Linked DNA regions of Rhinolophus ferrumequinum. The protein of the gene in region 3 interacts with the protein of the main gene of each other region in a pairwise test. Links are inferred from orthologs where the notes say so. Each region holds a gene or a part of one and is shown on either strand. Other genes may lie near its edges.

Region 1 (7,572 bases), on a different chromosome or scaffold from region 3:
AGTAATTTCTGGAGCCTCGCGGCTCGTTCTCACTCCTGAATGAGTTATGTGCACCCCACAAAAGACAAAGGGACACATATATCAGGGAAGGTCTGAGAGGCAGCCCCATCCTCCAAAGAAAAGCTTTGGTGCAGACTAGTCACTGAAGTGGAGGGAGTGTAGGAATCTTAGACACCGTCAGACCTCGCAGGCCCCCACGATGCAGCAATTCCTTCGTCAGCCTTCATGAGCAGTCGTTGAGCTGTGCTTGAATGTCTCCAGGGTCAGAGAACTCACCCCCTCCATGGTGGCCCCCTTCTAGCTGGGGACAGCTCTGAAAGTCAGAAAGCCCATCCTTCTCAGCACACATCTGTGTCCTGTGTCGACTACCCACCTGTCCCCAGAGAAGAGAGGAGGCCCAAACTCACCTTGTGTCCCCAGTGGGGAAGCACAGACTTCCTGGGACTAGCAATTCTGGTTCTAAGTCCTCGGCTTTGTCTCTTTCCTTGGGAAGTGGACAGTGACCCAGAGAAGCTAGTTTAGGGAGATGGCAGTGGTGCTCCCAGAGAATGGATGAAAATAAACCAAAGACTATCTGTGTCTTATGTGTCATACACACATTCCCCATCAGCTCCACGGCAAAACCTCTCCGTTTCTGGGGACACTTGGTATCTTCTCCTTCAATACTCTGTACATTAAGAAATAAGAGCGCTCACAGAAGACTGACGGGTTTCCTGCCGGACTCATGGGACCAATTCCTGACCAACTCAGACCCCACCTGAGGGGGTGGAGTAGGAAGGACTGTGGAGGCGAATATGTCCCTAAGCCAGGAACTGAGGACTCAGCGGGCACTTTCCTACCCTGTCTGTCCACTCTGGCTGCCCTCCCACCCCTGCCCCTCGGGACAGTGCATTCCACCCATTCGCCACTTCCTAGTCCTCTTCTTACCACAAGCTTGCCCAAGACACATGTGAAAATACATCAATGACCTTTGATTCAACACCTAGAATGTCAGCTAACCAAGTGCAAGTTTTTTATTGGTTTTATTCCCTATCGTGTCCCTGGTGCCCAGAAGAGTGTCTGGTTCATAGAAGGCGTTCATTAAAAATGTAAATACTTGTTGAATGAATATTCACTGGGCACTTTTATTTGCTTTTCTCTAAATTAAGTATTTGTCAGAAAGGCTGATGGCCCCCACTTCATTCACTGATTCAACCAATATTCACTGAGCTTTTACCATGTGCCAGGCACATGGTCCATCATGACTCGGAGGAAGCTCCCCATGGCCCAGAGAGGTGGGGTGAACTGCCAAGGTCACACAGCATATCTGTGGCAGAGGAGGACCAGGCCCCAGGCTCCTTGGCTTCCAGAGCCCAGATCTCTTTCCATGACACCATAGGCTTGTGATCGCTAGGCAGGGCAGACTGGCAGCACACACCTAGCCCAGCGCCAGGCCGCGGGGCACTGTGGGGCCCATTCTGAGGGACAGATGAGCGCTTTGCAGACAGCTGCCCTGAGTGACGAGCCTGGCCAGAGCCTGATGGCTTCCTGCTGTCACAGCTAGTGTGGGCTCCTCCAGGAGAGGGCGCCAGCGACTCCACCCGGCCTCTGCCCTCCCTACCCAGGCCCACATATCCCTTTGCACACATCAACAAATGCCCCTATTGCCAATACTCGGACAGGAGACACAAGCCATGTTCCAGGCTCTGTGCCAGGCCCTTTTGAATAGTTAATATTCATTTTAATATTTTATATAATAATTTAAAGCCATCACAACAACCTAAGTCAGGTCATGTAATTCCTCAGCTTAAAATCCTCTGAGATGACTTCCCAGTTCACCAGGAATAAAAATGCCATGGACTACAAGATATAGGCTACCTGGCGCCTGCTACCTGTCTGACCTCACGTCCCTCCACTCTTCCCCGTTCACTCCTTCCAGCCTGGCTCTTCCCTGAGCCCACCTCTGCCTGGTATCTGCACCATTTGCTTCCTCATTTACCGTGTTTCCCCGAAAATAAGACTGGGTCTTATGTTAATTTTTGCTCTAAAAGACGCATTAGGGCTTATGTTCAGGGGATGTCATCCTGAAAAATCATGCTGGGGCTTATTTTCCATTTAGGTCTTATTTTCGGGGAAACACGATAGCAAGGCTCTAACTACCCTATTTGAAAATGCAAGCCCCCAGCACATTCCTATCTCCATTACCCTGCTCCACAGTGTTTATCTCCTTCTCACGATCTTTATTATTTCTTATTTCTTTATATTTGTTTGTCTGCTTCCTCGAATATAAGCAACATAGGGACAGGAATCCTTGTCTGTTTTGTTCACTGCTATATTGTTCTAGTGCCTAGAACAGTGCCAGGTATATAGTAGGAACTCAAAAATATTTGTTGAATGAATGACTAAGCCCTGAGTTGGGTTACTCCCATTTTACAGATGAGGAAACTGAGGCTTAGAGATGTTAAATAACTTGCTCAACATCACACAGGTTAATTCAACCAACCAACCAACCAGCCAGCCAACCAACCAACCAACCAACCAAAATTTACACACCACCTGCTGCATTCCATGCAAATCTTTGAGGCACAGGGCTAGGTGGTTTGGGACAGTCTCTAGTCCTTCGTACTTGATGTTCCATCTACTTGCAATACGTTGCCCTTACATTTTTACCTTTTAGATTTCAATTTATGTTTAAGAATCAATTAATCATCCATCAGTGGTTGCCAGGGGCTGGTAGAGGGGGTGTGGTTGACTACAAAGGGGATGCCCAAGCAAATATTTAGGGTGATCAGACTGTTCTATATGGTCCTGGGGTAGCGAATTCACGATTCTTTGCATTTGTCAAAACCCGGAGAACTGCACAGTACGAAGAGTAAGCTTTAATGTGTGCAAACAACAAAATAATTGCATTGCCCAAGGCTCTCAGTCCCTATGGACATAATTCAGTGTTTAAATTGTTTCTTCTCTACCCTGTCCATGGACACACACACAAGTACACTTTGGCTTCTGTCTCCCAGAATGAAGGTGGCAGATAAGGAGGGAAGAGCAAGAGTAGCTTTCCCCATCTCCGAATGACTCAGGATTCCTCTTGCGGCTGCTCTCTGCCTTCCCAGGCTTCATCCCTCAGGGCTCAAGGTCAGGCCTGTGCCTCTCACCTAGACTGTTTTTAAAAAGCTTTTGTTTTGAAATAATTGTAGATTCACATGTGGTTATAAGAAACAATGCAGAGAGAGATGCCCTATATACCTGGTTTCCCCGGGTAACATCTTAACATGCATAACTATGATCCAATATCACAACCAGGAAATTGCCATTGACATAGATCATCCACCTTCTTCAGATTTTACCAGTTTTATACGCACTCATTTGTGTGTGTGCGCACGCACACGTGAATGCATTTATTTCTATGCAATTTTATCACGTGTAGATTCATGTGACCACCACCGCAGTCAAGTTACAGAACTATACCATCACAAAAGCTTCACCTGGACTTTTAGAAGTGGTTATGTCCTGTCTTGATGTTTTCCAAAGTGCAACCTTTAGATACATCAGAGTTACCTGGGCCACTTGTTAAATGTGCAGATTCCTGGACCCTCCCAGCACCCCCTACTGAACCTGTGTCTCTGAGGGTGGGGCCTGGGTACCTGTACTTTTAACAGGCACCTACTTTGCAAATCATAGTTCTCACTGGCCCCCAGCTCTCCCATGTCCAATCCACTCTCCACACTGTGGCTGCCAGAGAGATTCTTCCAACACACAGCTCTCACCATGTTATCCTGCCGCTTAACACCCTGCAGTGGCACCCAATGGCCGTCAGGATACAGACTTAGCAAGCAAAGCTCCCTGGGTCAGGCCCATCTCCCACCTCCACTCACCCCTCCCCACTGCAGTTCAATCCTTCCAAACTCTTCTGATTCTCAGAACACATCGTGTACTGTCATCATGCTCTGATTTGGTCATGCTGTTTCCTCTGCCTGGAATGTCCTTCCCATTCTTCTCCTCCTATGGCAACCCTATTCAACGACCCATTTTTACAGTTTAGGATTTGCAGGTTGAAAGAGACTTGATGTCACCCAGCAAGTAAAGAAAGGCAAGACCAGCTGAGAGCCCGAATCCACGACTCCCTGTTCCTGGTCTTACTGTTCACCAGGCTGTCATGGAGGCTGCAGGAGCCACTAGTCCCTGCTCTCTGGCTCTCTACTCACTTCCATTGGGCCTTCCTTCCTATCTGCCTCTCAGACAAATCAGCCAAGACCTCCTGTCCCTCTTTCTAGCCCAGTGGGCCTGGGACTCAGGGACCTGAGAGTAGGGAAGAAGGGAAATGGGACTGAGCCCAGGGGTAACCTGATTCTGGGAGTGGGCTTGGGGTACAGACCCACCATGGGGGAGAGGCTTGGGACCTGTTTAAACTTGAGGGGCAATGGGGGCCCCTGGAGGGAAGGAAGGAGCGGAGTGGAGTCCAAGTCCCCTCCTCTGCTACCCCCTCCCTCCACGGCTCCCTCGAAACCGAAACCCGAGCTGGGGGGCCTAAAAATAGCCCCCGAGGCGCAATTGCCGGCTGGCCGCCCTGGTGACCTTCTGGGTAGCACAGGCCGAAGGCGGGCGGGCAGCAGGAAGGCAGGGCGCCGGCCCCCCAGGACTCGTCTTCCAGGGCACCATCCTCCTGGTGCCCCTGTGACCATCAGCTCCAGTGTCCCCACAGCCCAGCTCTAAGAAGTCATGCAGAAAGCCCGGGGCACGCGAGGCGAGGAGGCGGGCACGAGGGCACCCCCAAGCCCCGGGGTGCCCCCGAAGAGGGCCAAGGTGGGGGCCGGCGGAGGTGCCGTGATGGGGGCACCAGTCTTCCTGCGGCCCCTGAAGGACGCGGCTGTGTTTGTGGGCAGTGACTTGCGGCTGCGGGTGGTGGTGAGCGGGACGCCCCAGCCCAGCCTCAGCTGGTTCCGTGATGGGCAACTCCTGCCCCCACCAGCCCCTGAGCCCAGCTGCCTGCGGCTGCGGAGCTGCAGGGCGCAGGATGCCGGCGTTTACAGCTGCAGGGCCCAGAACGAGCGGGGCCAGGCCTGCTGTGAGGCTGTTGTCACAGTGCTGGAGGTCCCAGGTAATGGGGAGGTGGCGGCTGGATGGGTGATCAGAGATAGAGAAGCGCTTCCCCAGGCCACGTGGGTTCATCCAGACTTCTTCCCAGGTGTTCTGGCTTCTCAGCTGCGCTGACCCAGAAGGGCCCACCAAGAGGGAAGTGCAGGGAAAGGGGTGTCAAGGTAGAGAAGCTCCCCACAGGAAGGTCAGAGGTCAAGGGTCAGCATTGGGTAAACAAAGCCTGAGCCCCACTCAGGCCTCTCTGGGAATTTCATAGTGGACACCCTCCTAGTTTCCCTGTAGCAAAAGGCCACCTGTGGAAAATCGTCTTCATCAGCTCCAGTCACTTAGACTTTAGAATCCTGATCAGCTCAACAGGTCTAAGAGAGGGAGCCAGCCCTCCTGATCCCCCTGAAATATTGAGAGGATGGGTCAGAGCTCCTGGCAGTCTGTTGCTGAGGCAGGTTGGTGTGCTCGGCATCAGGCTGGTTGGAAGAGGCCAGTGGGTGGACAAGTATGAATAAATAGGGTTCAGGGCATCAAGAGGTAGAGTTAGGGCTAGGGGCTCCCAAGCGTGTGTGGAGGTGGGTGCCTGAGAATCCACATGTCAGCATGTGCATGTGCTTGTGTATGTGTGTGTGGGCTGTGGAGGGGTCTGGTGGTATAAGCAGGGGAGGGATGGGGTTTGTGGAGTTGGTGTGGAAAGCCTCCGGGCCGTATCTAGCTGAAGAACGGAGGGCGTGGAAAGGGATGCTCAGGCAGGTCCCTGGGACCCTGCCCCCGTGGACAGAGAGTGCCAGGCTCCTGTGTGAAGGGACAGACAGTAGTCCAAGGCAGGAGTAGAGGGGATTGAGGCTGGGCCTGGTGTTCAGGGTCCTGCTGAGGCTGGTGTGGGTGCCTGGCCAGGGCCAATTCTCCTTGGGTCCATGTTTGTTCTTCCTTTTTGACCTCCTCAGCCCCTAAGCCAGCCAATTTTTCTCTAGGCCGAAGGCAGAGCCTCAGGCTGACTGAACCTTGAGGAACAGAATTCTGAGGAAATAGAGTGCTGTTAGAGGACAAGGCAAAGAGTTTGGGGGTCACTGAGTATGTCCTGGGCAATTTTCAAGAGGGAATTCTCAATCCAGCTGGGCGGTATCGTGTGGGGTACATCCTTGGGGACTGAGGAGGAGGCATAGGGATGAAGCTGGAGGGGAAAGAAGACTCTAAGGTGCAGCCAAGTCAGGAGATGGAGCAGGGGCTCAGCCTCCCTCTGCCAGCATCTCCTCTTTCCCTAGCCCCACTATGCCCCACCTCTAACAATCTTCAACGACTGGTCCACGGCTGGCTTCTCTTGGTTGGCTTTGTAATTGGCCAGATAAAGGCTTTCCCGGCTGGTGTTGGAGGATGAGGCCCATTCTGGCAAACCTCTGAGCTGGGGAAGGATCGGACTTCTTAGGAATCTTAGCTCCGGTCTCGTAAGGGGGCTGAAAACAGAACCTAAATCGAAGGGCCTGATAGACAGATTGATGAGAATACAGCGCAGTGGAGGGAGATATTAGGGAAGGAAAAGGAAGGGCTGAGGAAGGAGGTTGGTGGTCACAAGGTTTGTTTAGAGTTAGAAAGGACCACAGAGAACTGCAGCTCCAGACGCTTCCTTTTACAGGTGAGTTCACTGTGGTCCAGAGCACAGGGAGATCTGTCCAAAGGCACACAGCTAGTTATGGCCGCCCCAGAATTAAGAACCCAATCCTCCTGGCTTTGACTCTGGAAGCTCTTTACTATTCAAGGAGTTCTGGAGGAAGGAGAGAGAAAGGGAAGGTGAGCTGTCCATTGTATGGAACGTATCCCAGGACTGGCCTGTCTGAACACAAGAGCCTCCTAGCCTGCCTAGGTCCCCCAATGGCGTGGAGTGATGGTACTGTCTCCTCAGCTCCTCTGTAACCTGGGTGGTACGGCAGGCAGAGCTGAGGCCTGGCTGGGCATACCTAGATGGAGGCCAAGGGCCAGTCTCCAGGCTGCTCTGGTGGAACAGAGTGTGGGAAAGGAAAAGACCCTGGGTGCCGTGGCCCTGGACTTGGGGCCTTTTGACAGTCATGTTAAAACACGAAGAGTGTTGGGCTTCAGCAAGTCATGTTTAAGAACTTTTTCCTACCGGTTAAATCTGTACTCTAAGAGCAGCCTTATTATTATGAATTAGTAGTAATTTATAATAATGTGAATAGCTAGTATGCTACTGTGTGGCAATATGCTATCATATCCTTGGACATATCATTTAGGTCCCACAGCAACCCTGGGGAAACTGAGGTGCAGAGGAATGAAATGACATGTCCTGCTGTATAGATAGAAGGTGGCAGAGCAGGGATGGAAGTCTCAGTCTGTCCCACTGCAAAGAACCATGCGCTTAGCTATTACACCCTCCCACATGATTTGGGGGAGAGAGGGGCTTTCCTTTGGTGGTATGGGGGACTGACCAGGTGAGTCTGGCTTCCTCCTCCTATTGCCTTCCCCCCACCAGTCCCTGCCCAACGATAGGTACTG
Region 2 (7,850 bases), on a different chromosome or scaffold from region 3:
CCTTATCTCCTTCTATTCCCAAACACACGCAAAAACAAATGCTTAGTCTCTATTTACTATGAATACTCTGTAAAGATGTCTCCCGCTCTACTCTGTACTTTTTGGTTAAACTGTAAGTTTTCCAAAGGAAGCACCACAGACACCTAGGACCCTATTTGGAAGTAAATTCACAATAAATATAACTTTAGTGAATGCAGCTAGCTGGCAAGCAACAATCAGCTGCCTCCAGCCAAGTCTGGAAGTCACAGGGCCTAAATGTACCTTCAGGGCAGGGGAGGATCCAGATGAGAGCAAGACTTCAGCTCGGTGGTATTACACAGGAAGGTTGGGGGAGGTCTTCTGGACAAACTTGTGAACTGTAATACAGCATTTAAAAAATTCTGGGACTTTCCTAACAATAATCCGGAAATCCTGGATCACATGATTAAAGCGAGAGACTAGAACATAGGAAGGTCACCTCAGGAGCAACTTCTGGATAGAATGGCGATATGAGAGAGTAGCAAACAAGCAAACGACACACATGCAGAACCTGGGGTAAAAATACTAAAATGTGTCTATAGCATTAGGGGAAACAAAGCAAAAAACCTTAAATGGAGGCAATGTGGACATTACCGTAAGATTCCTGAGCAACACCTCTAAGTGAACTTGGTCTCCATTTCATTTGCTTTGGAAATGCAGTCTATTCTGGAAGCAATTAATGCAATAATCTAACACGGCAGCGAGGAAAAAAAAAAAGTGCTACAGAGTTAACTTTTCTTCTCCCCTCAAATACTGACTATCAGATTTTAAGCAGTAAAAACTTTCTCTATATTCTTTTTCACCTGAGAAATTGTAAGTAATGGTTTTGTTTTGACTCATCTGTATTTAGATACGTCTATTTAACATCATTACACAGTATTTACCATGCACCAGGCTGTTGGTTGGGAGTACAAGAGTGAATGACATCAGATGCCTGCCCTCAAAGAACTTACAGACTAGAAAGGAAGAGAGACTAGAAAACATAGTAAATCCAGTATATCTGATAAGAACCAAAGCCAGGGCAAGGGAAAGCACAACACTATAGACATTTACTTGAGTCCTGAGGGCCAGAGAAGGATGCTTGGAGAATGAGCAGAACTTAGCTAGGTAAAGGGGAAAGAGACCAGGTATCCCAGACAGTGGGAATAGCATATAAAATGAATGGTATAATAGCTTCATGTAGTGCTATCAGATTCATAGGTTAATAGTTTAGAAAAGTTCCCAAATGCAAGGTCACGATGAAGTGCAAAACAAGACATTCAGTGATTTTAAATTAATTACTATAATTATGAAGATCATGCTTTATTTTGATATGGATACTTTTCCTATTTTTGGGATGTTAAAATGCCATCTTTTCCCCAAAATGATAGCGATAGCAGATGGTAATATGATTTAAAAAACAAAAAGTTTGGCAAAACAAAAGATTTTCAACCTTGTGTTGATCCCTAAATTTTACTGGTTTATGAAGCAGAAAAAAGAAGTTCATTTCCCTACCTTATTGCTTATTTTTCTTTTTCTCTTTTTGGTTCAAAAGGTCTACAGGGAACTCTGACTTGTTAGTCCAGATCAAACTGTTCAGTAACATTGGAGCTGAGGGACAGGAATATAAATCCCCAGCCCTTTGAAATTCTAGTTAGTTGTCCACTACTTACCTCTACGAAAGTACTTTCTGAACTCTTCAGCATTGTTTCCAAAGACCTGACATGTGTGCTTTTATTTGAAACTTATTTTGAAACCCAGGTTCATTTTCTGGATTTGTTTGGACAGAATTCCTAAGATTTATTTTTAGTGCTTTGATTGAAAACTTCCTAGGTTTTAGAAATTAATTTCATAATAATATTGTCAAATTGCCTGATAATATAAACAGCTAATATATATATATATATATATATATATATATATATATATATATTTGAGTGCTTATTTAGTGCTGGAGACAGTGCTACATAGTTTCTGTAGTTATTCCACTGAGTCCTCACAACAGCCTTTGTGTTTCTTAGATTACTGTGCAGAGAGGTTAAGTAACTTGCTTAACGACACAAAGCCAAGAGTTGAGTCCGTAAATAGTTGGGACTGTCCTGTAGTTTAGCATAACTACAACATGAGAAAAGTGTCATTATAATCCTAAAGCTATCATTAAATATCAGATTGTTTCTTTGAAGGGAAGAACCTGACTAAACTTCTGGAAAAATATTACTAAACATACGTATGTCCAGAACTGAAAACTATTAGCAATTAACATTGTGCACTATCTAAAGCTTGCATTTAGGGCCAATATTTATTTATTTACTTTTTCTTCCTAAGCTCTCCCTAGAACCCCCAGGTAAAACAGTAATTTCTTCAATCCATTTGTCTCTTAAAGGAATGAATTAAAGTGGGAAATACACACATACAATAAAAGAAACAGTGGGGAGAAACACTTCAGGGATATGTGAGTTAAACTTTTTGTTAACCCTATTCAATTGATTTTAAAAAACTTTCAAGAAGGGTTCAGCTGCTTCCTGGGAAGGTGGTTAAAAGTGGTGGAGAGAACATGGCCTTGAAAGACAAGTCTGAGTTCAAATCCTAGCATTTTGTTAGCTTCATTATTTGTTTTGTAGATGAATCAGTTTAAGCTCAGAATTATTGAGAATCCACGTGGAGAACAGCTTAAAGGAGATAAACTTGCACCGGATTTCTAATCTACCCTGTTTCCCTGAAAATAAGACCTAGCCAGACAATCAGCTCTAATGCGTCTTTTGGAGCAAAAATTAATATAAGACCCGGTATTATATTATATTATATTATATTATATTATATTATATTATATTATATTATATTATATTATATTATATTAATTATATAAGACCCTGTCTTATATTATAGTGAAATAAGACCGGGTCTTATATTAATTTTTGCTCCACAAGATGCATTAGAGATGATTTTCTGGCTAGGTCTTATTTTCGGGGAAACACGGTAAAGTTCAAAAGACTGATAATGTGAGGAAAACGAACAGAGCAGATACTTAAGGGTGGGTAGTGTTAGGAGAGATATCAGAAGATCTTGTTCTAGGGCCATGGTGATTTTAAGGATTTACTTCTGTTTCCCTACCTCCTTTCTGAGTAGTAAAAGAGGTTTCAAGTCCCCAGTTAAGTAATTATCATGATGCTTATTTTTAAAGCACGATTCTATCTGAAAAGTCCTAGAAGGGAACAAATGTACTTTATTTACCATTATTCTTTATGCATTTATTTAAAGAAAATTAATACTTTCCCAAGTCAATGTTTTTAACATTAGTATTTTTAAAGTACCTAAGTTATTTCACATGTAACTGCTTAACTATTGCGTATGAATGAAACAGTAATCTAGAAGTTATTCTTTCAAACCCAGTTTTACACAGTTCATGTAAACAGTCAAACTTTTTCTCTTTCTCCTTCCACTTTATAAGAAGTCCCACTTTTGCTTCATTTCTATGCCCTTTGGCTCAGTATTCAAAAAAGAGAAAAAACTCAAAGTGGTGTGTTTTGCAATATTGATGACCAACTAAGCTCAGGATATTTATTTCCATCTGGTAGAGTTCAACTTTCTGCCTCCTGTTTGCTTTCTCCATCTGCCTGCCTCACCATCTTTTTTTTTTTCTCTCCTCATTTAATGGAGTTCTGGTTAACCCTTTTTTAGGTCTAATTGTTTTATCAGGCTCACGCCTCCCTGCCAGTCTTTTTTTCTAGTTTTGAAGGTAGGGTTTCCAGTAAACTTAAATGTCTACGCCTAATACTTTCACAAGCTTCAGACTTTATCTTTATTTTCTTCTTTTTATTAAAGAGCAGCAGAACTCTAAGGTTCCGACAGTTATTTGGAGTAGAAAACAGCAATCTTTGGTTTTTGTGTATAAACGGTGTAAATTACATTACAGATTTTATTTTTTTTAATGTACTACAGTTATAGACTACAGTTCACAGGATCCAGGTTACTATTAATATACTTATCTTCAGTAACAAGCTTTTCTATCAGCACTAAGCTGGATTCAGGAAGGTGTCCACTCTTCTTGACTCCTTAAGTTACTGAAACAACCACCAAAATAGGCTAACTAACCTTTTATTTACTTAATTTGCAATTAAACTTTTACAAAGACACCCTCCCCACTCTTCCCCAAGGGTGGAGCAGAAACTGCCCCGTGGTGTTGGTTACACTTCTGCGAGGAGACCTGGGCTTCCTGAGGCTGCAGAATGCCCTCCGAGAGCCCGGTCCCTCCCCCTTTTCTCTGCATCTTTGATGCGCGCGCCCCCAGCACCTTCGGCACGGGCACCCGCTCGCCCACGTCTCCCGCTCGGGGAGCCAGCCACGTAGACCTGGAACTGGGACTGGATGTAAACACCGAGTGCGCGAGGGGGCCGACACTGCGGAGGTGCGGCTCGACCGGAGCAGCCGACGCGCGTATAGACAGCCAGAGCAGATCGGTTTTCATCTGTACAACACCAAGCCTCCTTGCAAGAGAGCCCCGGCCGCAGATGCTTGCAGAGGACGCACAGGCGCAGGGCCTCGAGAAGCAGACGCCGGAAGGAGGAGCTAGGACGGGGGGCGGGGCTTTCACACGCGCACCCTCGGTTTCCTTCGTCCTAGTCTCCGGCCGCCGCTCGGGTGTTTATTTGTTTACAAGCGGATTACGTCAGCTCCTCCCTCTCTTCCCGGTCTCTGGACCCACCCCCTAGCCCTTTTCCCGCCCCCTCCGGCTCCGAATCTGCTTGCGTCACAATGGTGCGATCTCTGGATTGGCTGGAGTCGGCCGTCACGCTCCAGCTACGCACTTCCTTTCCGTGGCGCTATAAAAAGTGCTGCACGGTTCCTGCATCTCTTTGCCCCTCGGAGCTGGAAATGCAACTGTTGGAAGCTTCAGAACCTGCGGAACTGGAGGCGGAGGCGGCTGGGGAGGTCCGAGCGATGTGACCAGGCCGCCATCGCTCGTCTCTTTCTCTCTCCTGCCGCCTCCTATCTCGAACAGAACTTTTTTACTATAAAGAAAGGAGAAAAAAAGTAGCCGCCCGCCCCTCACGCCTTCTCTGGCTCTCAGCTCTCTGACCTGTGAGAGAGCCCGGGTGGCCGCTCCGCCGTCGGGGCCGCACCGCCGAACCCGGGCAGCCCCGGGCCGCCCCCGCCCGCCGCCCCCATGCATCCCTTCTACACCCGGGCCGCCACCATGATAGGCGAGATCGCCGCCGCCGTGTCTTTCATCTCCAAGTTCCTCCGCACTAAGGGGCTCACGAGCGAGCGACAGCTGCAGACCTTTAGCCAGAGCCTGCAGGAGCTACTGGCAGGTGAGTGGGCCCCGGAGAGAGGGCGAGGGGCGCCTGTGGTATGCGGGCCCGTATCCCCCGCCCGGGCCGTCGGGGTCGCGGGATTCTCGGCAGCGCCTCGGGCCGGCCGCACTCTAGTGCCGCCACGGGACCCGGGCTGGTGCGCTGAGCGGCCGCTAACGGCGGGTCCCGGCAAGGGTTTGGGGGCGAGGCGGAGGGCGCCCCCTTTCCCCCACGACTGGCAAACGGAGGGGAGAAGAAAACAGACGCACAACAAAGAAACTAAAGCCAACTGAGGCGGGAGTTGCGGTCCTTGGACCGTCCGCGGAACTGGGGACAAAGGAGCGGTTGGTTCGATGCCCCCTCCCCCTAACTCCCTCCAGCCGTTGCTCGACGACCCGGCCTGGGAATGGGAAACCGAGCCGCTGCTCCGGAGCCAGCCTGGGACGGACGTGCAGTCTCTGCGCGCCTCCTACCCCAGCCCATTAATCATCGGATTTGTCACCGGTACAAATACAGCCCTGTGCAGAGCGTGGTTTAGGGTTGCTTGTTTTTCTTCCCTTCGGGGTAATAGTGCGGTGGTGCGTCTCTACTCCAAAGCCATAAACCCCATTGTGTGCCTCCGGGGTGGGGTGGGGTGGAGAAAGTAAACAGGTTCCCGCCTGGCCGCCGGTGCCATCTGGCTGGCCGGGGTAGCGCGCGTGATTACTGTTTTTGGCGGCTCAACCGGTTGGTTCCTGGAGATTATTTTGTCCCCTACTACTGTGTTGTTTCAAAAACCCTGCCGGATCTTTATCCATCTCCGAGCACACACCCCGAATGTAAGCCTGGGCATTTTTAAAAGTTGATAGGTTTCACTTTCACCCCTCGGAGGAGCTAGCGGAAAAAGGAAAGTCCAGCAGGAGCTACTACCACTAACCATCTAAGCATTGTTTCTCTGTTCTTTTCTTTTATAGAACATTATAAACATCACTGGTTCCCAGAAAAGCCGTGCAAAGGATCAGGTTACCGTTGTATTCGCATCAACCATAAAATGGATCCTCTGATTGGACAGGCAGCACAGCGGATTGGACTGAGCAGTCAGGAGCTGTTCAGGCTTCTCCCAAGTGAACTCACACTCTGGGTTGACCCCTACGAAGTGTCCTACAGAATTGGGGAGGATGGCTCCATCTGTGTGCTGTACGAAGCCTCACCAGCAGGAGGTAGCACTCAAAACAGCACCAACATGCAAATGGTAGACAGCAGAATCAGCTGTAAGGAGGAACTTCTCTTGGGCAGAACAAGCCCTTCCAAAAACTACAATATGATGACTGTATCAGGTTAAGATATAGTCTATGGATGGATCATCTTATAATGGATGGATAAATTTGATTTTTGCTTTGGGTGGGCTCCTCTTGGGGATGGATTATGGAATTTAAACCATGTGACAGCTGTGAAGATCTGGCACAAGATAGAGTGGTAAAAAAAAAATTTAAGTGACAGTGCCATAGTTTGGACAGTACCTTTCAATGATTTAATAGCCTGTGAGTCCAAGTAAATGATCACTATTTGCTAGGGAGTGAAGTCCTAGGGTGGTTACAGTTTCTCCCAGACATAATACCTAAATTTTTACATCAATCCCTTTAATGCAAATCTGTATTTCAAAGACCCTTTCTCTGCAGTAGATCTTGCAGAGGAAATTTGCACTATTACACTTGAAAATTGTTAACTTTTTGGCAGCTCAGTAGGAAAGCTCAACATTTTAAACAAGGTAGTACTGGAAATTTTATGACAAGACTTTTACCTAGCACTTAAATATGTATAAATGTACATAAGACAAACCTAGTAAGCATGACCTGGGGAAATGGTCAGACCTTGTATTGTGTTTTTGGCCTTGAAAGTAGCAAGTGACCAGAATTTGCCATGGCAACAGGCTTTAAAAATTAAGACCATTAAAAAGACACTGTCTCAACTGTGGTGTTAGCACCAGCCAGCTCTCTGTACATTTGCTAGCTTGTAGTTTTCTAAGACTGAGTAAACTTCTTATTTTTAGAAAGTGGAGGTCTGGTTTGTAACTTTCCTTGTACTTAATTGGGTAAAAGTCTTTTCCACAAACCACCATCTATTTTGTGAACTTTGTTAGTCATCTTTTATTTGGTAAATTATGAACTGGTGTAAATTTGTACAGTTCATGTATATTGATTGTGGCAAAGTTGTACAGATTTCTATATTTTGGATGAGAAATTTTTCTTCTCTCTATAATAAATTGTTTCTTATCTTGGCATTTTAATCAATCTCTTGTCCTGATTGTAGAGGTTCAGCTAAAGAAATATATTCCTCAGAAGACTTAGGGCCTATAAGCTATGTGAATGTCAGTTGCACACAGGTCATGCTGAAGAACATTTACTTGATAAGGAGTGGAGAGCATCTATATACATACTTAGTTGTTACAAGAAACACAGGGGTAACAAGTTTTTATTAAAATCTAAAGTTAAAACATGGACATATTGCCAGGCTAAAAGCAGGAAATGAGGATAAGAGACAAAGGTAACAACTACCAAAAGTGATAACTCAAAGGATTAC
Region 3 (6,873 bases):
GACTATATTCCCTATGCTGTATTTTACATTCCGTGTAAAAATATATATATTTTTTTATTACAGTTAACATTCAATATTATTTTATGTTAATTTCAGGTGGACAGTGCAGTGGTTAGGCACTCATATAACATACGAAGTGATTAAGAACCATATTTCTAAATAGAGCAGGAATGACATCTTCAGATGTATTATTGTTATTGCTGTGTAACAAATCACACAAATGTAGAACTTACAGTTTGTGTAGTGGCTTAATACACATTTACTAATCACAGTTTCTGTGGGTCAGGGATGTGGGTGCAGCTTAGCTGGGTGCACTGTTCAGGGTGCCGTCAGGGTCTCAGCTTCCACCTCATCGGAGTCTCAGGGTCCTCTTTCCAGCGCCCATGGCTGTTGGTAGAATTCATGTTCTTGTACCTGTAGGACTCGTGATGATAGACCAGCAGGAGAATCAGTGACCTTAGAGAATGCCTCAGCCCCCTTTAAAGGGCTTCCATCTGATTAAGTCAGGCCTACCCAGGAAAATCTCCCTTTTGATTTATTTAAAGTTCACTTGTTTGAGGCCTTAACAGCATCTGCAAAATCAGTTCACCCTTGCCATACACAGTAACCTAATCAAGGGAGTGACATTCATTTCCTTTGTCATATAATCCAACCTACTCCTTGGTGTGTAACACTAGGGGACAGAGGTCACAGGGGCCACCTTAGAATTCTGCCCACCATATGCCTATCTATCAAAAACTGTCATGTGACATGCAAGCATCTGTGATTTATGCTGGGGACCAGGTCACAGAAGGTAATCCTAGGATCTTTGATAAGTTGACCAAATTTATAATTGAAGGAAGTACCAAGTTCCGGTTTAGTGAGAGATTAAGTTTCTATCATCCCAGCTCATAAACAACTGAATTTTCAATTTGACCCAAGTCAAGAATACCTGCTAGATGTCTGTGTGCTTCTAACCACACATCTAATCACACCAACTCCCCAGTGATCTGGTCCGTTTCGTGGACTGTGACCTCGTGTGGCACTGGCCAACAGAAATATAACATGAGCTCATATAGTATGTTATTTAGAATGCACTAGTGGCCACATTAAACAAAGTAAAAAGAAACAGGTCAATTAATTTTTCCCCCTTCCTCCACCTGAGCCCCCAACTCCAGTTCAAGCCATTGTTTCTCAGTCTAGTTGTGTAGGACACAGCTCCCTGGCCCATGCTGGTGTTATGAGCCTTGCGCTCCGCCCCCCGCCCCAGGCAGTCAGTTGCCAGAGGTCGGTCGCTCACAATGGCTGCTGGCCACTTACGCTGGCCACCGGCCGCTCCTGGCAGCACATGGTAGGCCATGGCAGCACACAGCAACCCACAGCAGCCCACGGGCAGCTCATGCCTACCTCTGGCTGCTCTGGCAGCCCAGCTTCAGGGAGAGCTGTTGTTCACAATCTTAGCTGTAGAGGGTGCAGCTCACTGGCCCATGTGGGAATCGAACCTGTGAACTCGGCGTTAGGAGCACAGTGCTTCCATCACCTGAGCCACCAGGTCAGCCCCAAGTCAATTAATTTTAACAATAATTTTTATTAATCCCGTTTATCCAAAATAGAATCATTTCAACATGTAATCAACATAAAAATATTAATAAGCTATTACGGATTTACAGATTCTTTTTCATATGAAGTCTCCAGAATCCAGTGTATGTTTTACATTCCCAGCACATCTCAGTTCAGACTTGCCATACTACATTAACCAATTGCCCTATGTGGCAAGTATCTGCCATCTTGAAAAATGCAAACTTTGACGGGGACAACTTCCCCATTTCTGACTCCAGCTCAGACTTCTCCCCTGAGCTGTATACCTGTGTGTCCTCCTGTCCAGTGCCATCTCCTTTTCAATGATCTTAGGTTACTCCCTAGCGTTGTAGAAATAGTTTGTTAAAATTTTTTGTTCTTAGTAGCTGTACGGAGCAAAAGTAATTTATTAGGTCAGATATACACTACTTGGAAATTAGGGGACAAAAAGGTGAAAAACCAAAAAACAACAACAAAAATAACCTTGCTGAAACATTTGGGAAAATAGCAAAAACGAACAAAAAAACTGCTTTAGGACCCATACAGCATACAGGAAAAGGGTCAAGATGTGGGATCTGATATTTGATTAATTGGAATTCCTCAAAATTTAAAATGTCTGCTCTTCTAAAGACAACATTAAGAAAACGAAAAGACAGGTCACAGATTGGGATAAAATATTCAAAGTAGCTATACCTGATAGAGACCTGCATCCAGAATCCATAAAGAACATTTACAGTTCGTAAATAAAGAAACAACACCCTTTGTAAAAATAGGCAAAAGACTTAAACAGACACTTGATAAAAGAAGATACACAAATGGCCACTAAGCGCAGGAAAAGAGGTTGAACGTGAGTGGCCAGAGCAATGCAAATGACAACCACAATGAGATGTCTTCATCCCACCGAACTGGTGAAAATGAAAGCCTGATCAAGTGCTGGCCAGGATGTGGAGCTATGGAACTGTTCGTGCATCGCTGATGGGAATGCAAAATGGTAGAATACACAAGAAAACATTTTGGCAGTTTCTTATAATATGAAACATACCCAGCATACAATGCAGCAATCTGCTGCTAAATTTAACAAGAGAAATGAGTGTCCACAGAAAAACTTGTACATGAACGTTCATAGTCACTTTGTTCATAATAGCCCCAATCTGGAAACTACTCAGATGTCCATTAACAGGAAAATGGATAAACAAACTGATCCATCCATACAATGGAGTGCCCCTCAGCAATAAAAAGGATTGCACAACCGTTATATGCAACGACTTGGATGAATATCAAAAGCATTATGCTGAGTAAAAGAAGACAGACACAAGAGAGCACATACTGTATAATTCCATTCATTGGAAACTTTAGCTAAGTGAAAGCTAGACTGTAGCGACAGAAAACAGTGATCGCTTCAGGGGCTGGGTGGGGGAGGTATTAACTGGAAAGGGTCATGAAGGAACTTTCTGGGGAGATGGATATATTCTACAAATTGCATTCATTTTCATCCAACTATTAACTTTTTCTGCAGGTCGAGGAAAGACCCCCTGGAGGAGGTGGTGTCTAAGCTGTACCCTGACTGACGAACAGGAGGAGTTGGCAGACAAAGGGAGGTGGGTGTTTGTGGCAGGGAAGGGACTTAGCAAAGGCCAAATGGTTTGAGTGGGGTCGCTGGGTTTAAAAATCTGGGAATACTTAAGTAGAAGGCTTGAGTTTAAATGCCTTGACTTCTGTGTCCTATTGCTGACTTGCATCGGGACCCTGGACAAGCTCGCTCTCTCTCTCTTGGCCTCTCATTGCTTCAGTTTTTCCCTCAGGTAGACGAGCACAATCACCCTTGCTCCTCTTGGACTCCCCTCGGACTGGGAGAATCCACCAAACGGACGAGTGACAGTTAGTTTTTGCCAATCGCTGGAGTCTAAAGCCCTGCTTCCTCCCTCCTCGTAGGCCAATCGCCGTGTTCTTGAGACCAGCCGCTTGGAGAGGGCTTGCCAAAGGCTTCGTGACGTCACATTTTGGATAACTCAGTAGCGGCTGCTAAGAGGCGGGTCGTTTCAGTGATGGACAGATTTATTTCAAAATGTCCGCTAGCGCGTGGCCTGCCGGGAAGCTTTGAGGCGGTGCTGGGGGGAAGGGGCGGGAACTCCTGCTTGATTTTAGCCAATCATCAGTTACATTTCTTGCGATAGACGGGCAGTCTTTCCCACTCCTGTCGACTTGAGGGGGCGGGACTCTGCACGCCAGACTGGGAGGGCCCCTGAACTTTGATGAGCGTCTACTTGGCCCAATTGCTAAGCGGTATTCCCAGACGGGCCGCCTCCATTACCAATGAGATTTCTTGGCAGGGTCGCGGTGGGCGGGCCGCGGACCCTCCGGTATAAGGCGGTCCCGGGGGAGTGCGGAGAAGGGGGGGTCTTGGCGGCTGGAGGAGTAGGTGCGGGTGAAGATGGCGGCAGCCGAGGCCGCAAACTGCATCATGGAGGTGAGCATCTGGAACGCCGCCGGGGGCGGGCGACGGTTTGGGGGCTTGGTGTTTCACGGGTCCGTCGTGGGGAAGGGGCTCCGGGTTGGTGGATGGGAGCTAAAGGCGTCCAGCTATACGGAAGGGAGGCCCCATGCTCCGGATTCAGGAATACCGTTTGAAGTGCGGTTTCCATAGCTCTCGGGGGCTTGCGTTGTCCCGCCAAGCCGATGGTCTCGTGCCCCCTCTCAAGTGGAAGAGGGCTGGGGTGCTTCCGGCCTGGCCCCCTCGTGGCCGGGGCGCGGTGGGTGGGGAGGGGGTGTGCCTTGCCCGGTGGCCCAGCGGGCTCCACGTGCTGGACAAAGGCCCCGCCCCTGGCCGGGGGAGGGGCGCCCCGGGGGGGCGGGGAGGAGGCTCCGACCCTCCTTCGGAGGCCCCCAGCCTTCCTCCCGGGGGATCGCGACGTACCCCTCCGGATGGGATCTAGTTGGGGCCCTCCGCGAAGTAGAGTCTCTTGGGAGGGGCGGTGTATCTCGACACTCTACAACCCCCTTCCTTGGACAGGGGCATCTGCTTAGGCATCGGTCCAGGTTTTGTGCACTTTTGGGTTGGGATTAGAGGAAGACGAAGAATTGATTCCCTCCCGCCCCCCACCCTCCACTTCCTGTCCCTGGATTCTCCCCCGGCAGGGGCTTTGGGAACTGGGGGGGATGGGGCATGCCCCTGTGACCTCCGTCTGGGTGGTGGTGGGGCCTCAAGCTTGAAGGAGATCCTTCCAGATAAGGCGCGGGGCACCCCCTTGTGGCCATTTCTGGGTGTGTGGGTGGGACATCTTTTTCATGGGGCGTGTCTCATAGCCCACTGTCCCATCCCGTTGGAGGCCTCCCGGGCGAAGAGAGGGAGAATCCATCTCCTGGGAAGGGGATGTAATGGAAGCTGCGAGTTTTACCCCCTTTTCTCTCCCCTCGGCATTTGTGAAGGTGGGAGATGACCTCCCCTTTCCTGAAGCCCTGTTTTGAGGGTCCTTGGGCCTGGATCCCTGAAATGGTTTCCCAAGAGCTTGGTTCTTGTGCAGCCATGTGGGCTCCTGGCGCTGTTTCAAGCCCTTTGGGCCTTGTCTGGCGGTGGTATCAGTGGTATTGAGAAATGGGCCCCAGTGGGAAATCCCCTTACCAGCCGGCCTTTGTAGTCATCCTCACTGGCTTGGGAGAATGGGGGTGGGGCTTGGAGCCCCGTGGGTCATGCCAGTGACTTCACACTTAATGGAGTATGAAAGGTGGTCATATTTTGGAAGAGGTGTAATCTGATGAGGCGTCTGTACTCCCATCCCTTACCTTGTAGCATTCTCTGGAGTGGAGGTCAGCTCCCCAGGGTCACTCCAATGACTCCCATCCCCCTTGGCTGGTTCCTGGACCAGGGCCTGTATGGGTGGAGGAAATATCTTCTCCAGAGGTTGCCTCAGGACTTGGCCCCACAGCTGGGTGGATTCTGGGCATGGGATGGGTGTCTGAATGGGGGGAGATGGGCTCGAGGGTCCAGTCTGGCCTCTTCCCAGGGACTGTTCCTTCTGGGTAGAGGGTAATAAGCAAAGAGATTGCCTCCAACTGGTTTTATTTGGGGCTTCCAGAGCCCAAGGCAGGAGCATGGGGCCAGAGTGCCAGGTCTGGTGGGGGTGCCTGTGTGCCACACCTCCTTTCTGGAATCTCTCAGACAAGAGACTCGTTTGCTGAAGTGGCAGATGCCCAGTTGGGTACCTCCTGGCAGCCCCCTCCTCCAGCTAGCTACTCATGGCACTGCAGCCTGAGGGTATATGTCAGGAAGTGTCACCTAATCTGGGGGGATTAGATGATGAGGGGGAGCGACAGCTGGCAGTGCCTGTGTGCCCAGCGGATGCCAGTTCCTCTGGGCTAGATGGGGGAGGTGTGTATGGTCAGGTGCCTGGCCAGAGAGGGGTAATGTGGGCGTGGTCCGCCATCTCTCCAGCCACAGCTGAGACAGACCCCTCCCTTCTCCCCCCACTTGTCCCACCCCTTTTGGAAACAACCCTGCCTCATTACTTGCTCCCTCTGTCACCACTCCACCAAGGAAAAGGAAATCTGCAGGAAACACCTCCCCCGCCCCCAAGAGCCAGGGTCCCCTGGCCTGGCCTGCCCCTAGCCACTCCCAGTAGCTAATCCTTTCTCCCTGTTACTCTCTCCTAGAATTTTGTAGCCACCTTGGCTAATGGGATGAGCCTCCAGCCGCCTCTTGAAGAAGTAAATATCCTTTTGTGAGACCCTTCCCCACATTAAGATATCTTGCCACACAATAGGCCCTTTCTAGCAGTCTAACCTTGATCCCTCTTGCTTCAAACCAGTTTACCCCATACCCCCGAAACACTTAGTACAAACACCTCCAGGTTTGTGGCCCCCATCAGGCCTCCCCAAATACTGTGGCTGCTTCCTTAACTCCATTTCCAGCCCCCCTTTGCCCTTCCCTGTGTTTGCCCCAGTTCTGCCTTCCCCTCCCCTCCCCAGCTGTGGGCTGAGCTAGAGACGGGGGCAGAGAGACTGGAGAGATGGTAGGCGTGGCTGAGGTATTGGGGTACTCCCTGGATGGTGCTCTGGGGGGGGTCCTACAAGAGGAAAATGGGGTTTTAGGTTTTGGGGTTCTGGGGGAGGCAAGATGGCAGGAGGGTTGCCATGGTACGATTTTTGGGGGTTTACTCCAGGGAGAAGTAGGGACCTGGAGGCTTAAGAGGCTTTGGGGAGCCCTCAGGTTTGACTCATGCTCCCCTCCGCCCCCTCCCAGGTCTCCTGTGGCCAGGCAGAAAGCAGCGAGAAGCCCAACGCTGAGGACATGACGTCCAAAGATTACTACTTTGACTCCTA
Region 4 (7,438 bases), on a different chromosome or scaffold from region 3:
ACCACAAAATCCTAAAAAGCCCCTCAGCTCTCAATTCTTATACAGTTTTTAAAAATTTGGTTTGGAAACATAATGAACACCCACAGACCACTTAGTCAAGGTTTAAGAATATTCAAATTTTCCTAGCTCTGCTTCAAATCCAAGATAGGTGTGAAATAAATGCCCTGTTGTCTCTAGTTCAACACACTGGTGGTTTGGGCTTTCTCCGCCTCACTTAAAACAAAAAAAAACACAACTTGACATTATTTTTTGTTCTAAAATTAATTTGCTATTGCCATTCACAGATTTAAAAGAAAAAATGACCAAGTTTAAAAGTTAAACGATTGTTTTAAGTCCACACAAAATAAAAAGTGAGCTGTAGTTGAGGTTGCTTCATAAAAAAAATCATGAGTACATACTGAATTTTTCGTATCAGTAAAATAAAGCTGCAAAAACATAATGAGGAATGGACAAGCTAACTTCTTCCAAATTGTTTCAACAAACACTACTTAATTAGGATAAACTTAGGTCAGATGGCTGAGATTAGCCTACACACATCATTTTGTATATTCAGCCTGTATGTAATGCTGAAATGAACCAACTCCCCGAAGAGAGTGATTAAATAATAAAAACAAACAAGGCAAGTCTCTATACTGCCTCAAAAGACAGAATTAAAGTGCATTTATCTGTGGTGAAATTATAATGTGATGAAGATAGTAAGCAGCAGAATAAAGACATTGTAACGAATACTGAAATAAAGAACATGAAGGTGGATCTCAAGAAAAAGCCTACTTTTCTTGATGAAACTCAAGATAACTAGTCACCTATAGAGAAAATACAAGTTTCCTAGAAAGCAACTCGTAAGATAACCATACTTCCAGACTGCTTATCGAACACTGTGCAAATGTATCAGGTGCAGTTTTCTGACTTAAACAACTTCTTTTCATTTCAAAGTCCACTAATATTTAGTTGAAGTTAATGAAAAAGGAAGACGAGAGGAAGGAGGTAATAGAGTAGGAAGAGAGGAAAATGCAGTTACTCTGAAAATGAGATAAACAATATCATGACTTCTTATGATTACAAATCATTAAGACTTCATAGCCCACTAATGTCTATACAGACGCAGACTCTGTGGTTAAACTCTGGGTGGATCAATGTTTCTCAAGGCAAGCCTCAAATTCTGATGAACTGGCAAAACAAAAACATTCAAAACTGGCATACTTTGATCAAGAAACTACTTATAGTAAAAGATGAATATGTTTGCTGAATACAACCTATTTCTATAGATGCATCCTAAAGTCCAAAGTCTCTTTGTGAACATATAGTTCTGTTTTCCCATGCGCCCCCCACCCCCAAATACAACCACGAGATCATCAGAACTCAAAAGTTCTCAGCATCACAAGACCCTCACTGTATTGCACCTGGAAATACTATTAGTCACAGAAAGAAAGCAAATTTTTAACAGAAAAGTTCGATGAACATCTGTTAAAGTGGTGTGCTCTTTAAAGTATGTGTAAAGCAAAGAGACAAGCTGCATATTAAGCATAAGATAGAAATATTTATGATTACTATTTCATTGCAAAGGCTCTCTGCAAGTTGATTCTCAAATTGGTTGAAATTAAAAAAAAAGTTTGCAAACTTTAACAAAAAAATGTAAAATAATTAGATTCCAGAAGATAAAACCTTTCAGATCAAGGGAAAACCTCTCTTCAAGCCAAATATAATGTGCTCATTTAAAAAAGACTTTTAGGTCACATGAGACCATTTAAAACTCTTGTTTCAATTCAATACAATGCCACACAGCCAAACCATATTTCTGATGCAGCAAATATACTAATACTAATGTGACTGGAGTCATTTGATCTAAGCATTTTTTGCAAAAAGTAGAAATTTCATTAAGATTTAAAAGGGCTGCTGGGAAATTAGGGAACTCAGCACTCGCCCCTCCCTGACTTTTTCTAAAACATCTCTGTGCAAATTAAGAGACGAGCTGTAAAAGAACCAACGAAATGAAAACTAACGGTTATCTCATGATTTAGGAGTGTCAAGCCCTTATCCTACGACTGACTCATGAGACATAAATCCAGCCTTTGAGGACAGCAAAAATCTCAAACAGGCAGTGTGAAAAGACTGGACCTTTCAAGAACCCCGTGGCTTTAAGTTTTAAATATTGGCAATACGGTTACTACCGTATAAGAAAAATAATTGCCTTTCCAATTTACTGCGCCTAGGACATTCTTAGAATTATGTATCTCAGGCGCTGCTTGAAGCCTAAGTTTCATGGCCTCTAGTAGTCATTTTTTCCTTCAAATCAGCTCGCAGCATGCAGAATGGGGGAGGGGAGGCTTCCTACACACGTCGGCCTTTCGGCTTCTGCTTCCCACAAAAGTTTTCTCCGCTCATGTAACCCGGGGTTTGCATCCCGCCCTCTGCCCACCCCACCCCCTCAAGCCCATCCCGACCATCAACACATCCCACTCGTGGCTAGGCCGGCTGAGATGGGAGCGAGGCGGCTCCCGCAAGAAGCGATAGGATCGCGGGCGCCTCAGGCCGCCGGCCGGGCCGCGTGGAGCGGCTGGCGGAGGCGGGAAAAGCACTGCCGACCGCTGCAGGCCGCGCGGAGGACGCTCAGCAGGCCGGCCCCGCGGGCCGGGGTTTGGAGGGGCGGGGGGGAGATGAACGAGGGCGAGGATGCGCCTCAGCAGGGCTAGGCCCTCAACTGGGCGGCCAGACGAGGCCAAAGCCGCCCCCAGCCCATCCCCACCCCCACCCGGGACCTCGGAGGGAAAACGAAACTGGGGACCAGGCGCCGAGCCCGGGCCGGGCCCAGTAGGGTCGGTCGGGGCTCCCGGCCCCTCCCCCCACGGGCCGGCGCGAGACTCACCAGGGCAGAGCAGGGGCCGACGGCTGGGCCCGTGAAAATCAGCGCGAGGCGCTTTGAAAACGACTAGAAATGGCGCGCGCGCCACCCCCTGCCCCCCCTCATGGACAGAGACGCGATCCCGGCAGCACGCGGGGTTTCCCGGAACTGCTTCCAGGGACTCCGAGTGGCCGGGCAATCACCTCGCGCGACGGCCTGAGAGGCAGCTCAGGCGACCAATGGAAGCGATAAGAGGCGTACCACGCCGGACGACTCGGGAGCCAATCGATGAAGCCGTCAGTTGAACCAATGAGAGAACTCAGCGCCACTGGCTGGGGCGCCTCCGGGGCGGGGGTAGGAACACAAAGGGGTCTGTGGTGAAGCCCCGAGTAGAGGCAAGGCTGCGGAGCACCAGGCCCTGGGGGGTCGAGGCTCCTCCCTTTTTGCCTGCCGCCGACACGAGATCTAAGCCCTAGGCCTCGCACCGCGTGGCCACCTCCGGAACCCCGCCCCTTACCGTCCGCGCCAGCCCTCTCCGCCGCGGCCCACCCCCCTTCGCCGGTACCGCAGCGTCCCTAATCGCCCCCCTTAGCGGCGCCGCCGCCAGCTTTCGCCCCAGACACGCCCACCGCCACGCGGTCGGGCCTCCCTCTAGGTCATCTTTTGGACTCCTGTTAGAACACGATTGAAGGTTGATTTGGCTGGTCGTTTGGGGAATTTCGTGTAGAAAATAATTGCTTGGAACGATCGGAACACTGCCCCTCTGTCTCCCTGGCTCCCTTCCACACATCGTTGGGAGCAGCTCAGAATGTGAGCGAAATCTCTCAGGTGGGCAAAACTGAAAACAATGTTACTCACAAATGATAGAGCAGGGCTTTTTTTCCCCACAGGGTTTGGAGCTCATTAATATTCATAAATAGATAGGGCAGATGAAGCCAAAAATCCGTGTAGAGAAAAGGACTGCTCCTCAAAGTAAACTAATTCCTGTTATCTCTAAACCTGTTTTTCACCTTCCGCGCCTACTAATTTTGTTCCTTGTCCTTGCGGTAATCCAAATCTGTTTTATCCCACAGCCCTCCAAACTCACTTCTGTAGAGCCAGCCCTTCCCTCCCTACCTCTATCCTAACCCCCAAAGCCCCACCCGTGAGGGAGTGGAGAGGGTCAAGCAGTGGTCTGCAGGATTTCCAGATACGCTCAAATATCATTTAAATTTCTCAGACCCTATCAACCAAAAATTAATTATTGGAAACTCACTGTGTGCCCAGTACCGAGCTAAATGACTTGGTGCATCAAAGTTTTGTGCTATGGAGTGTGAAACTTAAAACAAATGTTGGGTTCTTTAAAAACAAAATACTATAAAATGATGAATAGGAATAGTCTACCATGTTTCCCCAAAAATAAGACCTAGCCGGACCATCAGTTCTAGGATTTCCAGGAGGGAATTCCCGCCCGTTCTCGGGAATTCTTTTCACTTTTCTGTTCCCGAATCCCGAGAAAAGTTGGTCAGGAAATCAGGAAAATCAGCTCCTTGAACCCAGGTGGTTGGTAGTACCGGCTGTTACTTCGTGGAAACGATTCACCGTGTAGAACAGAAAACAGTTTGTATCTTGGGATTCCGGACCGGGAAAGCGAAAAAAATTCCTGAGAACGGGCGGGAATTCCCACCCGGAAACCCTAATCAGTTCTAATGCATCTTTTGGAGCAAAAATTAATATAAGACCCGGTATTACATTATATTACATTATATTATATTATATTTATTATATAAGACCCGGTCTTATACCCAGTATTATATTAAAGTTTGCTCCAAAAGCCGCATTAGAGCTGATTGTCTAGCTAGATCTTATTTTCGGGGAAACACGGTAGGAAGGACATGGTAAAAAGCGAGGGACCTTGAAGTTTAAAATTTATTAGTCTCTAGCTTGAGTGTTCTTAACATATTTTGTACCATTTGACAGTCTGGTAAAAGCTATGTAACTCTTCTAGGTTTTAAAATAAAATATATAGCATTACAAAAGAAACTATATTGAAATATGATTAGGAAACATTTTAAAAACAAATTTGTGACAGTAATCTGTTTTTCTTTATTAACACATTAAATGTCAAGATCTTGCAGGGGGTCCAATAACTACTGAAATTTTAAAGCAATTAGAAGGTATTTCAAGAAATCCATAGCAACTATAATATGATACAAAAATGTCTGTGATTTCTATTGACAATGAAAGGTACTGCTAATTCTACTGTGGTTTGTTGCCACATTCACAACGGGGGAAAAATGCTGAATTTCAGTTGGACATTAGTTAAAATAAAAGTGCTATTTTTTTTCCATCCCAGTTGAAGGACTGTTGAAATCCGTTCAGAGACTCTTTTAAGTCCATTAGCCACAGGATAAGAAACCCTGGGCTGGATATTGTAATTAAAGCAATTCTATCACTCAGTATTTTCTGGGATAATATTTAAAGTATTTGGCCATATAATCCCATAAGTATACTCCACCATTTCAGACCATATGTTTTAGTTCTTTTATTTAGAAAATATGGTCATCTGAGCATTGCATTTCCAAAAAAGACTGTGTGTGTATTCATGAATTCAATATTCCACAAATATTTATTGCATGCCCTCTACATACAAATCACTGTTAAAAGTAGGGAACATAAAATGAATAAAATACAATCTCTGTCCTCAAAGAGCTTACATTTGAGCTCACAAGGCAGGTCAGATATGCAAATAAACATAATAAAAATGAGTTGTTAAGGAGAGCTCCAGCTACTGGTATATCCCTAATCTTTTGAGATAACACAGTGCAGCCAGGCCATTCCACAACCCTTCCCTGTCACACACCAAATCTGTGGTCTGAGCTAATATGTTGTCACACACCAAATCTGTGGTCTGAGCTAATATGTTGAACATACTTTTGCTTCTTAAAACAATTACCGGGTACCAGAATATTCCAACTGAAGCTTTTACTTTTACTACTTACAACTTGAAGTTAACAGAGAATGTTTTAAATCATCAAACCTTCTTACTGTGCCCTTAGATTCATCTTCATCATGCTTGTCCCTTTCATAACATTGAGTCTATTCCTCAGACTACAAACAAGATTACATCAATTCAGCCTCTTCAAAATGCCTTCACTTGCCAATAACAAGGATAAGCCAACCTGCCCACAGTTCAAAGGCAGCGACAGGAGAAAGGAAAAAAGGAAACAATGCAAAAAGGAAGAAAAGGATAGAGAAATGAAAATGAATATCACATGTAGATTGTTAGTGGAAAAAAGGGCATCAACCACCAACCTCTGCTAACACTTAGGTGCCCAGAGTCCTCTACTCAGCTTTATTTCAAAACTTCAGTTCTCCCTTGAATTGTTCCATTGTCAAATAGAACTATTTATTTTCTTCATCGAACGTTAATAATTTTTATTATTTTAAGGCATTTTCCCAAACAGGGCTGTTCCAATCAAGGTTGACCAGCGCTGAAGGCTGTTTGTCTTTCATTTAAAAAATAAGGTGCCATATGGCTAACTAGTAATAGCTTGTAGTCAACTTGCCTTGAGACCTTACTGCACTCCTGCTTTATTGTAATTTTTGTAGCATCTTTTCTTTGGAAGATTATCCTTGGGTTGGCTTATTGAATTTCCTTCTAATTCTCAAATTCATCAAAGCTGTTTTAAAATGGAAAGAAAGTGTAATTCCATCTTAGTGGCATAACGTTTTAAACAATAATCACTTATTGAGCTCCTACTGTGTGTCAAGTGTTTTACATATGCTATTGCTGATCCTTACATGAAACCTTAAAGGTTAGTAATATTATCCCATTTTATTGAGGAAACAAGACTCAGAGAGGTTAAAACATTTGCTCAAGGCCCCATAGCTAAACTAAGACTCAAATACAGGTCTGTGTGACTCCAAACCTGATTCATCAAGCTACTTTTCGATTCAAGTCTCAGCATTGTCAGATTCTTCACTTGTAGTGGTGCATATTTTTACCAGTCAAAAATCATAGTCAATCTGATGAATAAATTGGAGAATACTACTTAGGGTCCAAAGCAAACTATGATATAAGATAATGAGAACATTTCCTCATGTGGTTTGCAAATTGGCTTCTCAATTCAATCTGAATTCGTTCTAAGAAGCAACAGTATCTAAGAACAAAAATTGTGGCCTCACAAGATCTCAGCACTGGGGATCAACAGTCCTTTGGATAGATTTGATAGAAAAGAAAATGTCTTGTAAATATTTACCTATAATGACTTCATAGTCTCTTTATGCTATACAGCCAGAAGAGATGAGTCAAAACCAATAACATCAAACCTCCCTGTTTTTAAGCCTTTATATTTTCAAACCTAATATTGGTCGTCTCTGATTTTGAAATTCTTTTTGTCCTTAATTTTTTTTCATGAGTTCTCTGTTGTCCTTGGGTTCTGTTAAGGGAATATGGAAAAAGTGAAAAAAGAAAGATAGCACAGTGAGCTCTCCTTTCCACCTTCCCACTCCCCTAGTCTGACTCAAGAAAGCGAGAGTCAACTTTCAAGTCCAATTAGGATTGTTAAATCCAATTTAAGAGTGCTGAACACTTGGTCTCATGGAAGAATTTAACAC

The links.
Region 1: the proteins of PRMT1 (region 3) and SPEG interact in binary tests that used the Homo sapiens proteins (3 or more experiments, as listed by UniProt). The two-hybrid records come from large-scale screens. The link is inferred for Rhinolophus ferrumequinum from reciprocal best matches to the Homo sapiens genes PRMT1 and SPEG.
Region 2: the proteins of PRMT1 (region 3) and BTG1 interact in a two-hybrid assay, tested with the Homo sapiens proteins (2 studies listed by BioGRID). The link is inferred for Rhinolophus ferrumequinum from reciprocal best matches to the Homo sapiens genes PRMT1 and BTG1.
Region 4: the proteins of PRMT1 (region 3) and HNRNPR interact in binary tests that used the Homo sapiens proteins (3 or more experiments, as listed by UniProt). The link is inferred for Rhinolophus ferrumequinum from reciprocal best matches to the Homo sapiens genes PRMT1 and HNRNPR.

Annotation. Positions count from the first base shown.
Region 1 is NC_046291.1:16,084,586-16,092,157, reverse strand, and holds the start of SPEG (striated muscle preferentially expressed protein kinase), read left to right. Parts: upstream 1-4,571; 5' UTR 4,572-4,698; coding exon 4,699-5,077; intron 5,078-7,572.
Region 2 is NC_046293.1:83,572,602-83,580,451, reverse strand, and holds BTG1 (protein BTG1), read left to right. Parts: upstream 1-4,847; 5' UTR 4,848-5,161; coding exon 5,162-5,309; intron 5,310-6,244; coding exon 6,245-6,612; 3' UTR 6,613-7,557; downstream 7,558-7,850. UniProt on the Homo sapiens protein: Anti-proliferative protein.
Region 3 is NC_046298.1:44,757,609-44,764,481, forward strand, and holds the start of PRMT1 (protein arginine N-methyltransferase 1), read left to right. Parts: upstream 1-3,868; 5' UTR 3,869-3,988; coding exon 3,989-4,024; intron 4,025-6,204; coding exon 6,205-6,258; intron 6,259-6,462; exon of another isoform or gene 6,463-6,560; coding exon of another isoform or gene 6,561-6,578; intron 6,579-6,793; coding exon 6,794-6,873. UniProt on the Homo sapiens protein: Arginine methyltransferase that methylates (mono and asymmetric dimethylation) the guanidino nitrogens of arginyl residues present in proteins such as ESR1, histone H2, H3 and H4, FMR1, ILF3, HNRNPA1, HNRNPD, NFATC2IP, SUPT5H, TAF15, EWS, HABP4, SERBP1, RBM15, FOXO1, CHTOP, MAP3K5/ASK1, MICU1 and NPRL2.
Region 4 is NC_046292.1:15,936,357-15,943,794, forward strand, and holds the start of HNRNPR (heterogeneous nuclear ribonucleoprotein R), read right to left. Parts: upstream 3,020-7,438; 5' UTR 2,864-3,019; intron 1-2,863. UniProt on the Homo sapiens protein: Component of ribonucleosomes, which are complexes of at least 20 other different heterogeneous nuclear ribonucleoproteins (hnRNP). hnRNP play an important role in processing of precursor mRNA in the nucleus.